Linked DNA regions of Macaca mulatta. The protein of the gene in region 3 interacts with the protein of the main gene of each other region in a biochemical or structural test. Links are inferred from orthologs where the notes say so. Each region holds a gene or a part of one and is shown on either strand. Other genes may lie near its edges.

What was found.
Region 1: the proteins of RAP1A (region 3) and RAPGEF2 form a complex in vitro, tested with the Homo sapiens proteins (2 studies listed by BioGRID and IntAct, with this or other methods). The link is inferred for Macaca mulatta from reciprocal best matches to the Homo sapiens genes RAP1A and RAPGEF2.
Region 2: of the proteins of RAP1A (region 3) and RAPGEF5, one has a biochemical effect on the other in vitro, tested with the Homo sapiens proteins (2 studies listed by BioGRID). The link is inferred for Macaca mulatta from reciprocal best matches to the Homo sapiens genes RAP1A and RAPGEF5.

What each region holds. Positions count from the first base shown.
Region 1 is NC_133410.1:167,886,265-167,890,239, reverse strand, and holds part of RAPGEF2 (rap guanine nucleotide exchange factor 2), read right to left. Parts: coding exon 3,703-3,975; intron 2,756-3,702; coding exon 2,544-2,755; intron 2,454-2,543; coding exon 2,330-2,453; intron 1,699-2,329; coding exon 1,675-1,698; intron 624-1,674; coding exon 400-623; intron 1-399. UniProt on the Homo sapiens protein: Functions as a guanine nucleotide exchange factor (GEF), which activates Rap and Ras family of small GTPases by exchanging bound GDP for free GTP in a cAMP-dependent manner.
Region 2 is NC_133408.1:106,155,186-106,159,160, reverse strand, and holds part of RAPGEF5 (rap guanine nucleotide exchange factor 5), read right to left. Parts: intron 2,763-3,975; coding exon 2,640-2,762; intron 990-2,639; coding exon 811-989; intron 1-810. UniProt on the Homo sapiens protein: Guanine nucleotide exchange factor (GEF) for RAP1A, RAP2A and MRAS/M-Ras-GTP. Its association with MRAS inhibits Rap1 activation.
Region 3 is NC_133406.1:128,545,769-128,550,189, forward strand, and holds the start of RAP1A (ras-related protein Rap-1A), read right to left. Parts: upstream 2,905-4,421; 5' UTR 2,878-2,904; coding exon 2,821-2,877; intron 1-2,820. UniProt on the Homo sapiens protein: Counteracts the mitogenic function of Ras, at least partly because it can interact with Ras GAPs and RAF in a competitive manner. Together with ITGB1BP1, regulates KRIT1 localization to microtubules and membranes.

The DNA.
Region 1 (3,975 bases), on a different chromosome or scaffold from region 3:
AAGGCAGCCAGCACACTCAACTTTATGCCCCGACTCCCCTCAGGGTGCCCATAATTTGGGGGCACCTTTCTGAGAACACAAGACACATAATTGGGAGCCATATCTACATATGCGCCCCTTGCATGTGTACTGGCTGTGTCCAGGTGAAACTAAAGCAACGGGTTGCCCTAGATGTGGACAGTGTCATCCTCCACACACTAACCCAGCTGACCTGAGGGCCTGGCCGCGCACAGTGCTATCCAGTATTCAATATTAGCATTCAAGGGAAGGACTAGTATATCTCATGATTGCCAGCTCCCCCTCTGCACTAAGCCTTATTTTGTCACTGCCCATATCACTGTACAGGAAACAAATCTGCATTCTAGCCAAAGTCGGCAGCCACTTTAAGGAAAAACTCACATGTGTTGGTTGCTGGCTCACACTGCAGAGATAATGTCTGAAGACTCTCCTCGTCCATTTCTAGCTCCAAATTGGAAAGGTACTGCTTCACTTTTCGAGCCATTTGGGCATCTTCATAAAGCTTTTTGGCATTGAGAAAGGAACTACGACGTACCCGCTTTTTATGACCACCTGTCTGAGCAACATCTAGCACTGTTGCGTTTGTACTACCCTGGCTGAGAGACCTGGAAGATGAAAAGGTAGATATGCAGCTCACTCTAGCATGGGAGTACTTTATCTATTTAAAACGTGCCAAGACTGATATTAATATTCTATGTTCAAAAGGTCACATGCTTCATTCCAGTGAGTAAACTGTTACACAGGAATATAGAATAATATAGATTAAAAAAATTTAGTTAAAAGAAAATTATACATAATATACATATAAAAATATATGTTTGGCACCTGTTCAGTTCGAACTAGGAAATTCTACTTTTCACCTCTATAGAGCATTTAAGGCAGTTCTCTCACAGATGCCAGAAAATAATAATTACATATAAAAGCTCATGCAAGAATACACAGCTATAATCATTAAGATTTGCAACATTAAGATTACTTCCCCTAAAGAGGATATTATATATATATTTAAATAAAATTAACTACAATGTTCACAATTGTCTTCTTATTCCTTGAGTTGAATGTAGTGAGTTTTTAAAGTAATACGGTCAATCTGTTAATAAAACAATCATGCAAATGTAAACATGTATGTATGGAAACTATTGAGCACATGAATTGTTAAGAATTATTTTTAAAAAGGATTGGTTTATACAGAATGAAAATAGTAGTTAGTTGAGCTGTAAAAAATTTGGGTTTAACACCTGGGGGCACCTATTTTATATTAAAAATATTTATTTCTCACATATCTGTGAAATATTTTAATTGTACAATTTTTCCTTCTAATATCCTTCCTCCCCTCCCCCTACTTTGAGCTTTCCGCATTTCAAGACACACCAATTATATTAAAATAAAATCTTTCTAAGAGTTCAGAAAAACTGGCCTATAGTTCCCCAGAACAGTCATCAATCATTTCACAGCTCTCATGGATCATGACTTCAAAAGCAAAAGCCCCAACAGATTAAACTTGAAGTCAGTTTGCCGTCTGAAATTCTGCTACAGCAAGAGGGTTAAGGAAAAAAATGCAAAAATGCAAAGCATCAGAAAATACAGCAGGTAAGAAAACAATACAATGAGCAGAATAAGGACTGTGTGTGGGTATGCAAGGTCTCCACCACTTACCCCAAACTCCGCCATTTCTTCTTCCTGTAAGTGAGAGCCATGGAGATTGAAGCATGGGTGTAGAAAGAGAGACAGAAAGATCACAAGCTCAGAAAGAAAGGACTAGACTTCTGGATAAGCAGTTCTAGAAGCCCACAAACATTAAACTGCATAATCACCTCACACACGCAACTTTACTAGAAATATTTTTCTAGCTTAAAAGACAAATATATTTAAATTTTTTGTTCTAGAATTAAGACCGACTTTTCTCTCTTTCACTGAATTAATCACTTTTTACTACACTGCTAGCTAAATCTGTTGTGTGGATATTAAGACAAGACTATTTCGGATATTTACATATTTTAGTTCATACTACTAGTTATGAGTTTTAGCTCTACAAGTCAGTGTTCTGAGAAATAAGAAATACATAATTGTGACTATTACACTGAAAATATCTGAAGGACAAACTGTTTTTACTGACAGCCAAAAGAACACTTTATAAGGAATAAGACATTTATTCCAAATTAGAGCTCACAGGTGATTCTCAGCACATCCTACTATAATTTCTGCCGTAGGACAAATGTAAATACTCAAACTTTTAAAAAATCATTTATTGGGAAGCTCTAAATTTAACCTTCTCTACTCTCACACGTGGCACTGAAGATGACATACTCACCGAGTCCTGAACATGAGGGCTGGGTCCATGTTCACTGAAGCCATTCGGCCAACGTGACGAATTTCTTTTGCGATCATCCTTAACTTCTCAAAATTGACCAGCCCGTCTACTTTTGAGTCATTTCCTGAAATTGACAGAGAAGAAAAAGGAAATCACATGGCATTTATTCTGTGCTTCTCCAAGCAAAGATGGAAACCCTCTGCCTTATGTTTACCTTCGTGAAGGAAGGTGAGATCCTTCTTGATAACTGGAAACAGAGGGATTATGGGTGGTTGTAGGTTTTGACTATTGAGAACATTGCGATATTTCGCCATGTTTCTGGAAGGATCAAACAGGTCTTGGAGATCTTGAAATAGTTTTTCGTATTTATTGGGAAGTTTCTCCCAGGTTGTTCGCAGTCTTGCCACTGGTGCCAGGTTTAGGCCACTGAGAGGAGAAAAAGAAATGTGATATAACAACTAAAGTAAAATAGTGTACAGATTATTTATTGACACATAACACCTCCTTGTTTATGCTTTATATGCAAAACAATTTACAGAAGGCTGCATAAGAAACTGTTGATGATAATTCTGGGGAATGAGATGGCACAGGGAAGTAGGGTCAGGGTCAAGCCAAGGCGTTTTACTCTCCTCTTCCCTATAGACCCTCCTCATCTGTTTACTATCAGCAAAACCACCTGAATATAAGTATTGATGCTTTGTATCCATACATAGCAGTATGTATACATACCAGTGCTTAGCCCATAGCGGCCTTTTGATAAAACCGACTGAGCAAATATCCTCTAGTAATAAAATAAGCTATGATAGTAATGAGAGTATGACTAAACTCCCAGACAGAGAAAATGACTCATTTAATAATCACCCTCAATAGCAACATAACTAATTGTTGCCATTTTTTTTTTCTTCTAACCTCAATCTAAGCTCTTAAAAAAAGGGAAGAAAATTAACATTTCCTGGCCAACTGCTTTGTGCTATTTGATGGAACTCCGCATACATGATATCATTAATCTTGTTGATAACTCTTTGGGGTATTGTTATTTCCACAGAAAAGTAAACTGATATTGAGAAAAGTTGAAACAAACTTAAAAAAAAAAAAAGTGGGGGATATAGATTTTCGGAGCTCCAAATCAGAACTTCAGATGCTACCAAAATGTTTCCTGCCTAATGGCTTCTTCGAATCTCTTCAGGTTGGCACAGCTGGTTTTGTTGGTACGAGAGATTTTCAATTAAGGTTAGGATTCAGAGAAAAAGAATTGTCCCTTATGAGTCAATTAAAATCTACTGCATTTATACTAATTATACGATGTTCCTGGACTGATACATATTTTAAATCTGTGAACTGAACTGAATCTTAAGAAAAATGTGTTCTCTTACCTAATGATTGCAAACATTGAGTTAAAATTCTTGCATTCCCTACAGTGCAGTGCTATCTTGATGAAATGCTTAATGATCTTCATCCTCTTCAGCTGGTTTGTTTCTCTGAGAATTTCAGACGCTACCCAAAATGTTTCCTGGTTAATGACTTCTTCAAATCTCTTCAGGTTGGCACAGCTGGTTTTTGATCTGAGTTTAAATAAATCATCTATATATTCAGTAGGTTCAATGTTGCGAAAGAGTTCAAAATTTCGCATGGAGAGCTGTGTGGCA
Region 2 (3,975 bases), on a different chromosome or scaffold from region 3:
GATTGACAAGAAATATTCCCTGTTCTTTGAAAGCGAATATAGCCTAGTGAAGAAATCCTATGTAAACAGATAAATTGAATAAATATAATAAGTTTCCATAAGGTAAAAAGTATATGTGTGCGAGGGGAAGTAGAGGCAGTAGTGGAAGTAGTACCCCTGCATTTGAAAATCAGGGGTAACTTCAGGAAGGAAGTAATACTTGACTGAGGTCTTGAAGAATGGCAGCAATTTGCTGAATGCCAGTGGCCATTCTTCGCAAAGCCGACAAGTATTCACACTTGGAAGATGGTGCTCATGGGAGAGACAGACATTTAGAGTGGCTAGAGCATGGGGTGCACCCGGGGGTGAGGCTCAGGGGGTGGGGCCAGCCAGTGCAGGGCCTTTGAATGAACGAGTTCTCAAAAGTTCATACTGTGGGCCTCAAGGAGCAATGAACGGGTCCTACAATGCACCTGACGTGCAATGATTCCCACTTCTGCACATCATCATCTCCTTTTTTCTAGCCTCCTGTAGCTCACCCAGGCACCCTGCAGTTCAGCTGCAAGACGAAGGATGTGTGTACTGCCTGCTTACTAGTGCTGAGGCAGAGGGCATAGTGCTTCTGTCTGATATTTTGACATTTACTTTAAGGTATAAATACTTGAAATGCAAAGACATAAATATTCAAAAATGGACCTTTTCAGCCATTTGGTCATTTAACTCCATATTACATGTTTATATCCCAACCCTTATCACCATAAGACAAAAAGAAAAACAATGTGCTCTCTCAAGGAGACTAGAGGAATGGCACTTCTCACACTAGAAACTTACTGAGCCGCAATTTTGATGAATTTTTTCACCAGCTGCACTCGCTTGCCCAGCTGGCTGCAGAGGAGAATCTCCGTGGCCACCCAGAGCTGGACCTCATTGCATCTCTGGAGCAGAAGGCTGAGGTTTGCAGTGTGTTCCCCACTTCCCTGTCTGCTGAATGTGAAGTAGATCAGCTCTTGCTGAAAGAAAATGTATTCATGCCAGGGTTTATTTATAGCAAAGTACAGTTGATACAAAATTCGGTCAAATTTTAAGAGCTACTTCAGGTAGTCCCTCCCATATTATTAATATGCTAACGGAGAATATGGCGAACAGTAATATATTAAATTCAAAACGACTCAGTTTTAGAGGTGCCTCATTCAATAATGCTTTTTGTGATTTTTGTGTTTTATATAAGTGATTTTTCAGAATGTAAGGAAGACATCTTTATATACAAATCTAAGATATTCTGAAGTTTAAATCATAGGATAAATGGAATCCCCAAATTTCCGAACCTTGTCCTGTTGAAAAATTCAAGTGAAAATGAACACTAGTACTACCAGTATTTGTTAAGGTGCACATCAGACCCTCACAGGTCTGTTCTCTAAGACAGTGGTCCTCAAATTTTGGTGTGAATCAGGATCACCTGGAGGACTGCTGAAGCACAGACTGCTGGATCCCACCCCTAGAACCTCTGATCCTGCAGGGGTGTGGAGGGGCCGGAAATCTGCATTTCTAACAAGTACCCAAGTCCCGCTGATGATGCTGGTCTGAGTATCTGCTCTTTAAAAACCACTGATGTAAAACATTGTCAAACCATAAATGGAAAGAGAATGAGATTAGGGCAAGGTCTAATAATTTATGAAAGCAAACAAGACCAGTAACTATTTATATAGATGGATCATGTGCAAAGCAATAGATTTGTTTTTAAATGTGTATGTGTGCGTGTGTGTGTGTTTTACAGAGGTAATCTACATTCTTCCACTGCATAAGCAGGGATATATCCTAGTCTACTAACATTTCCAAAGACACAAGTCATTTAGCCTGAAGGAATTCACTACTTGCTCACATTCTGATCACAATATTGAAATCTGTTTAATGAGAAAATACGAGGACATTTGGGTCTCTAAATTGGGCGTGAGGTTCCTTCTTCAGAAGGAAAGGCCACTTCAGAATGAAAAATTTTACTACATGGCAAAACAAATGCAACATATGGTTGCAGAGGCCTCTACCATTTTTCATCTCTTGATTCCCGTGAGCGTTTCCTCTGGCCAAATGTACTCAAGAATTGTCGCTAGCATTTTGCTCCCAATCTATCGTTTTAAAAATGTCATAATCTGTCCTTAAGTGAAAAACTGATGGACATAAAAACTTGAAATATATCTAAAATTTTCAATAAAGTACTTTAAATCTTACAATGCAGTCTAAACTTGTAGAATGTTCTTAAGTTAAAAGATGCATATGTGTGTACATAAATAAATATGAATATGATTCTTGTACAACTATCATAAACTTCATGGAAAAAATAAAGCTATCAATATCAAAGGTGAAATGGTTAATCAACCCCATTAGAGCCTAATCTCCAAATACATATATATATATTTATACATGTGAAATATAGCATATTTATACATTACACAAGCATATGCTCACACTCGGAACAAATAAAAGCATGCTTGCATATTCTGATTTTTTTAGACTTGCGTCAGTCTTTCAATATATTTAAAGTCCCCAAGTATCTTTTGGACCATGTTATTCTAGTATAATTTCATCACCGCATGCACTGATATTCTGCACAAAGAATTCACAGTCAAAACAGCATTTGTATTTTCTTTTCACTCCTCACGTACCTCGTGAATTGAATTGAATAGACTCCAATCAAAATTCATTAATTCCAGAGCAAGATCCCAAGTGTTCATTCCCAAAATCCTCATCGACCTTTGCTGTGATTCCTCATTTTCTGCAAACGGGTTCTAAACCGACAGAAGCAAAAAGATCCTTAGTAATTCCCAAATGTTTTGCACTGCATTGGCTGGCTGTAGAAAGGCACTAGAAACCCAGATTAGCAAAGTAATCTTTTCTGAGTGCACTTAATATTTTCCCTGGTCTGTTCGCCTTCAGTGAGTTACAGCCAATTTAGGAAACGGTCTTGCAAATAGTAGAACGTGATCAATGATACTTCAGTGAGTTCGCCCACTCCTCCCCCATCTCTCTCCCCCGCCCCCACGTGCACACATGCACGCACAAATCTGATTATAAAACACTGCCCTGGCAGACAGCATAATGAAAGCGAAAGCCCCGAAATCACTTTGGCTTCTGGTAAGAATTAATGTGCCAGCAGGGTTAGTATAAAAACAAACAAAAGAAATGTCATGGTGCACTTCAATAAAGACAGACATGGCGTTTACAGGAAATATGTTTAGCAAGTCTCATCCCAGACACACATTTACACATTTTATTAAAATGCCCATGAAAAGTAAAAAAACAAATTTAACATGAAATAAAAATTATTTCATTTATATCCCATGGTGGATTATTATTTTAAGCATCAACCACTTTCCCTATGTAAATAGGGCCTAACCTCTACGAGGCTGGTAACAGTATTTCCTTAAGATATGGCATAAAAGTATTAGATGCCATCACAACTTTCAATCTATTTCACCACTAAAGTTATTAAAAAGATTATTTGGCATGTTTCCAAAATAGTTGATGTTTTCTAATGAAAATATAAATTCTCCCATTTGAAGGGTTAGATTTGAATAATAACTTTAAAACAAACAGAAGGAACCTTCCAACAATAAATGGCATGGTAGGATAAAGGGAATATTCCAGCTGCCAAATATTAATCCATATTTCTAAACTGAAAAATAAATTATTTGCATTTTAGAAGTTTTACATTGATGAAAATTTTTCCTATTTTTTTTTTTTTTTAAAACCTAGGCCGGGCACAGTGGCTCAAGCCTGTAATCCCAGCACTTTGGGAGGCCGAGACGGGCGGATCATGAGGTCAGGAGATCGAGACCATCCTGGCTAACACGGTGAAACCCCGTCTCTACTAAAAAAAATACAAAAAACTAGCCAGGCGAGGTGGCGGGCGCCTGTAGTCCCAGCTACTCGGGAGGCTGAGGCAGGAGAATGGCGTGAACCCGGGAGGCGGAGCTTGCAGTGAGCCCAGATCGTGTCACT
Region 3 (4,421 bases):
CGTCTCTACTAAAAAATACAAAAAAAACTAGCCGGGCGAGGTGGCGGGCGCCTGTAGTCCCAGCTACTCCAGAGGCTGAGGCAGGAGAATGGCGTAAATTCAGGAGGCGGAGCTTGCAGTGAGCTGAGATCCGGCCACTGCACTCCAGCCTGGGCGACAGAGCGAGACTCTGTCTCAAAAAAAAAAAAAAAAAAAAAAAAAAATTAGCTGGGCGCAGTGGTGAGAGCCTGTAGTCCCAGCTACTCGGGAGGCTGAGGCAGGAGAATGGCGTCAACCCGGGAGGCGGAGCCTGCAGTGAGCCGCGATCTCGCCACTGCACTCCCGCCTGGGCGGAAAAAAGAAAAAAAGGCAGTCTAATATGGCTTCCTAATATGCTTTAGGCTAGAACAGAGGTTCTCAAAATACGGTCCAAGACAGAGGCTCCCCAAGGCCAAACTATCTTCCTAACAATACTAAGATGTACTCTTCTTCTTCTCTCATAAGTTTACAGTGGAATCTTCCAAAGTAGAACATTTGCTATTCCAAGAGACTGGATACAGAAGCAGGCATAAGAGCCCATGTGCCTTCTATAAACCAGACATTAATAAGACTTGCACAAATGCAAAACAATCCAACACTTCTCATTTCTTTCTTACTAAAAGTAATGTTTTACTACTCCTCTGAAACTTATCCTCTGTCTTAATTTTCAGGGACATCTCATTCATTGATTCACATAGATTATAATTTTATTCCTCAGGTTTTTGTACTGGATCATCTCTTTTCCTCTCTTGTATCCTCATTTTCCTCTCCAGTGGAGAGGAATTGCCCCAGCATACAAATATGCTTTACTATCTCCAATTCTAAAACAAAAACAAAAACCTCCCTTAACCCCAATATCTCTCCAGCTTCTGCCCCCATTCTCTGTCTCCTCTTATAATCAAGCTTCTTCAAATGTCTATATTCCATTTCCTCAGCTCTCATTTGCTCTTCAACCCACCCCACTATGCTTATGGCAACATGACCTGACTAAAGCTGCTTTCTTTACCATGTCCCACTACCTCTATGCTCTCTGATCATCTCTTTCCTCTTTTTTACTTGACTTTTGAGCAATCAAGTAAAGACACCTTCTATGCTAGATCCTCCAATCCTACCCACTTCCTAAAGGTTGAGAGGTACTCAGAGCTCAGTACTGGGCTCTGCTCTTCTCTCTCTAGTATCTCCCTAGACCTCTTTCACTCCTGTGGATTTTTTTCCAAAATTATTTCTGAAAAGGTGATTCATGGACATAGCACTAAATTCAAAAGGCATAAAAGGCTATGCAGTGAACTAAGCTTATCTACCACCCTTGTTCCCAGCTATCCAGTCCCACTCCCAAGAAAGTAACTGATATTACCCATAGCTTATTTAACCTTGCAGAGATACTCTATGATTTTACAGCTATCTGCCCTCAGCCTACACTTTTTTTAATATAAAACACAAATTATAGTCTACACTGTTTAGTACCTTTTTTCTCTGTAATACATCTTGGATATCATTACATATTGGTATATATAGAGCTATTGCATTCTTTCTAATGGCTGTATTCTACTCTGAAAATGTATTAAAATTTACTTAACTAGCCCCTTAATGGAACACATTTAGGTTGTTTCCAGACTCTGGTCACTTGGTCACTGTAAAGAATGTTGCAATGTTCCCTGACCACGCCATTTTGCACATGTGAACTTATATGTGGGCTACATTTTTAGAAAAGGAATCTTTGAATTGAAAGTTATATGCCATTAAAAATGACAGATATTCTCAAACATTCTCGACAAAGGCACTAATTTACACACCTAACAGTAATGTAACTCTCATGAAATTAAATATCATCACCATATTGATGGCACCCAAAGTCATATCACCGGTCTCTCTCTTTTATTACTTCAACATGTCACAAACATAAAATCTGGCTTGACTCTTTGATTTGGACTCTCACTGCTCATTCTCCACTGTTTCCCTTCTTTTTTTAATCCATCCATAATAGTAGCTCAAACTAGAAACCTGGGAGCCATCCTTGACAGCTCCTTCTCTCCTAGTCCCCGTATCAATCTAGCACCAACTTACGTCAGTTCTACCACTTACTCAATCCTCAAACATCTACTTCTCTTCTCTCTTCTTCACTGCCATGGTTTTAATCCAAGGTTCCATAAACAATGATCTGGTATACTGTATTAACTCCCAATTTGTCTCCCACATCCACTCTGCCTTTCTTCTAAATTAATCCGTATTTTTTTTTCAGAGTATCTCTCTCACAAGTATAACCAAGGAGTTCTTTGTTTAATTGTGTATTTATCACATCTCCTCCACTACAATGCAAGCTCCATGAGAAACTATGACTGTTTTTGTTCACTCCTGTGACCCTAGAATCTGACATTGTAGAAGCTCAGTAACTATTTACTAAATAAAAACAGCATGAACACAAAAAATGACCTTCATTCCATGTAAGTCTAGAGTGGAAGCAGGTGAGGAATTATCCCAATAGAATCTGTAATAATCAGTTTCCCCCACTACAATGTAAATTCCTTAAAAATGAGAACAATCTTACTCCTCTCTGAATCATAAACACTGGTGCTTGCCATGTAAGACAGTCAATAAATAATTGATAAATGTAAGAATAAATGAGCCAACATTATAAAAGTGTATATCTGTGGTTATTAAATGATTTCCCGTCCTTTGTGGGGCAGATACCAGATATATAATAATGCCACTTTTTCTCTTTGGTGTCTAGAAGTCTGAAAGCAAGGAAATATCAAAATTCTTCTTGTATTATACTAATCAGTTACAGTTAGGTGGCTAACTTACCAGAGCAGACTTCCCAACGCCTCCTGAACCAAGGACCACTAGCTTGTACTCACGCATGATGTGATCTGTTTAAATACTGACGATCTGAAAAACAAACAAACAAAAAAATCAAAGATTAAGAAACATACTAACAGCCTAATAACGTACAACTGCTACATCAAATATAGGAGTTTGTTTTGTTTTTTCCTTGTAAGACTATCAAATGGACAACAGAAGCTACATGGCAAAAATCCATACAGATTTTAACATAAGTTTATAGGATTACTTTCAGACATTTTAATTCACTGAAGATCATCTTTGACTAGGCATCAATTATGTTCATATTACTTCTAAGAATCTTTGATTAAAAACAAGATGATTAAATCCAACAGTTGATAATCTTATGACTACAATGATAAACCTAATTCTTTGCAAAGCTATCATTTAAACAACTTATGTACTTTTAAAAAATATTCACTCATGAGCTTTAATATAATGTACAGGCTATTTTACTTGCTTAAAATATTCTACAGTAATTCTACACTATTTTGTTCATTATTGTATTATAGCTGAACCATTTAAAGTGTCATCTTGAAAATAATTAAAGATGTGAACAAGAGATCAGATGAAATTGCTAAACACTATAGGCAGTTATTAGCAATACACGACATAAGGCCCAAATGGCCAGAGAAAATAAAAGGAACATAAACTTTATTTTTTATCTCCATGGTTATCTTAAAAGGTATAAAGACAGGAAATAATTTTCAATGGCCATGGTGGAATAACTAGAAACAGACTTTTCAACTCACAATAACAGCCAGAACAGTGAACAAAAAAATATAAAACTCTTTTTAGATATTGGATAACAAGCAGTGTAGGACTGTGATTTCTGAGATGCAAAAGAAATGAAGTGAGACCTAACCTGCCCTGGCTTTCTGCCTAGAGGCACTTTTCAGACTATGGTGAAGGGAGAAAGAACTCAAGCAGAGCTTAGAAGTGTGCCAGAGAAGTGGAAGCTAAGCATATAAAATTCCAGAAATCGGCATAAGGATTCACTTGAGTCTGGCTAAGCACTAAGCCCAGCACACAGACTAACTTCAAAAAGTAAGGCAAAGAATAAATAGAGATTTACAGGTGGAACAATTCCCAGAGTCATATGGTTCTGACTAGAAGTCTTCCTTGTTGAAAAACTAAGAATTCACTAGAAACCTCAAAAGACTCTTATCTTAGTAGCAGAGCTAAATAAGCTCTAGAGTAAATGATATTCTAGATGCTTCCTAACAAAGCTTAAAACAAGGCTCAAAAGGATGGAGTTGGTCCATGTGTAACTCAACCACTTGTCTAAACAAAGTCCAAGATTCTTTAAAAGAAGCAGAAAAAAAAATTCCACCACTCAATCATATAAAATTAACAATGTCCAGTATCCAATAAAAAATTAATAGAAACGTGAAGAAAGAAAATGTGACCTGAAACCAGAGTGAAATAAATCAGCTGAAACCATCCCAGAAACAAGATGATGAAATTAGCCAATGAGGACTCTAAAACAATTATAAATATGCTCAAAAATTTAAAGAAAAAAAAATGAGGAAGAAAATGGTACACATAATTAGAACCAAAAAGAA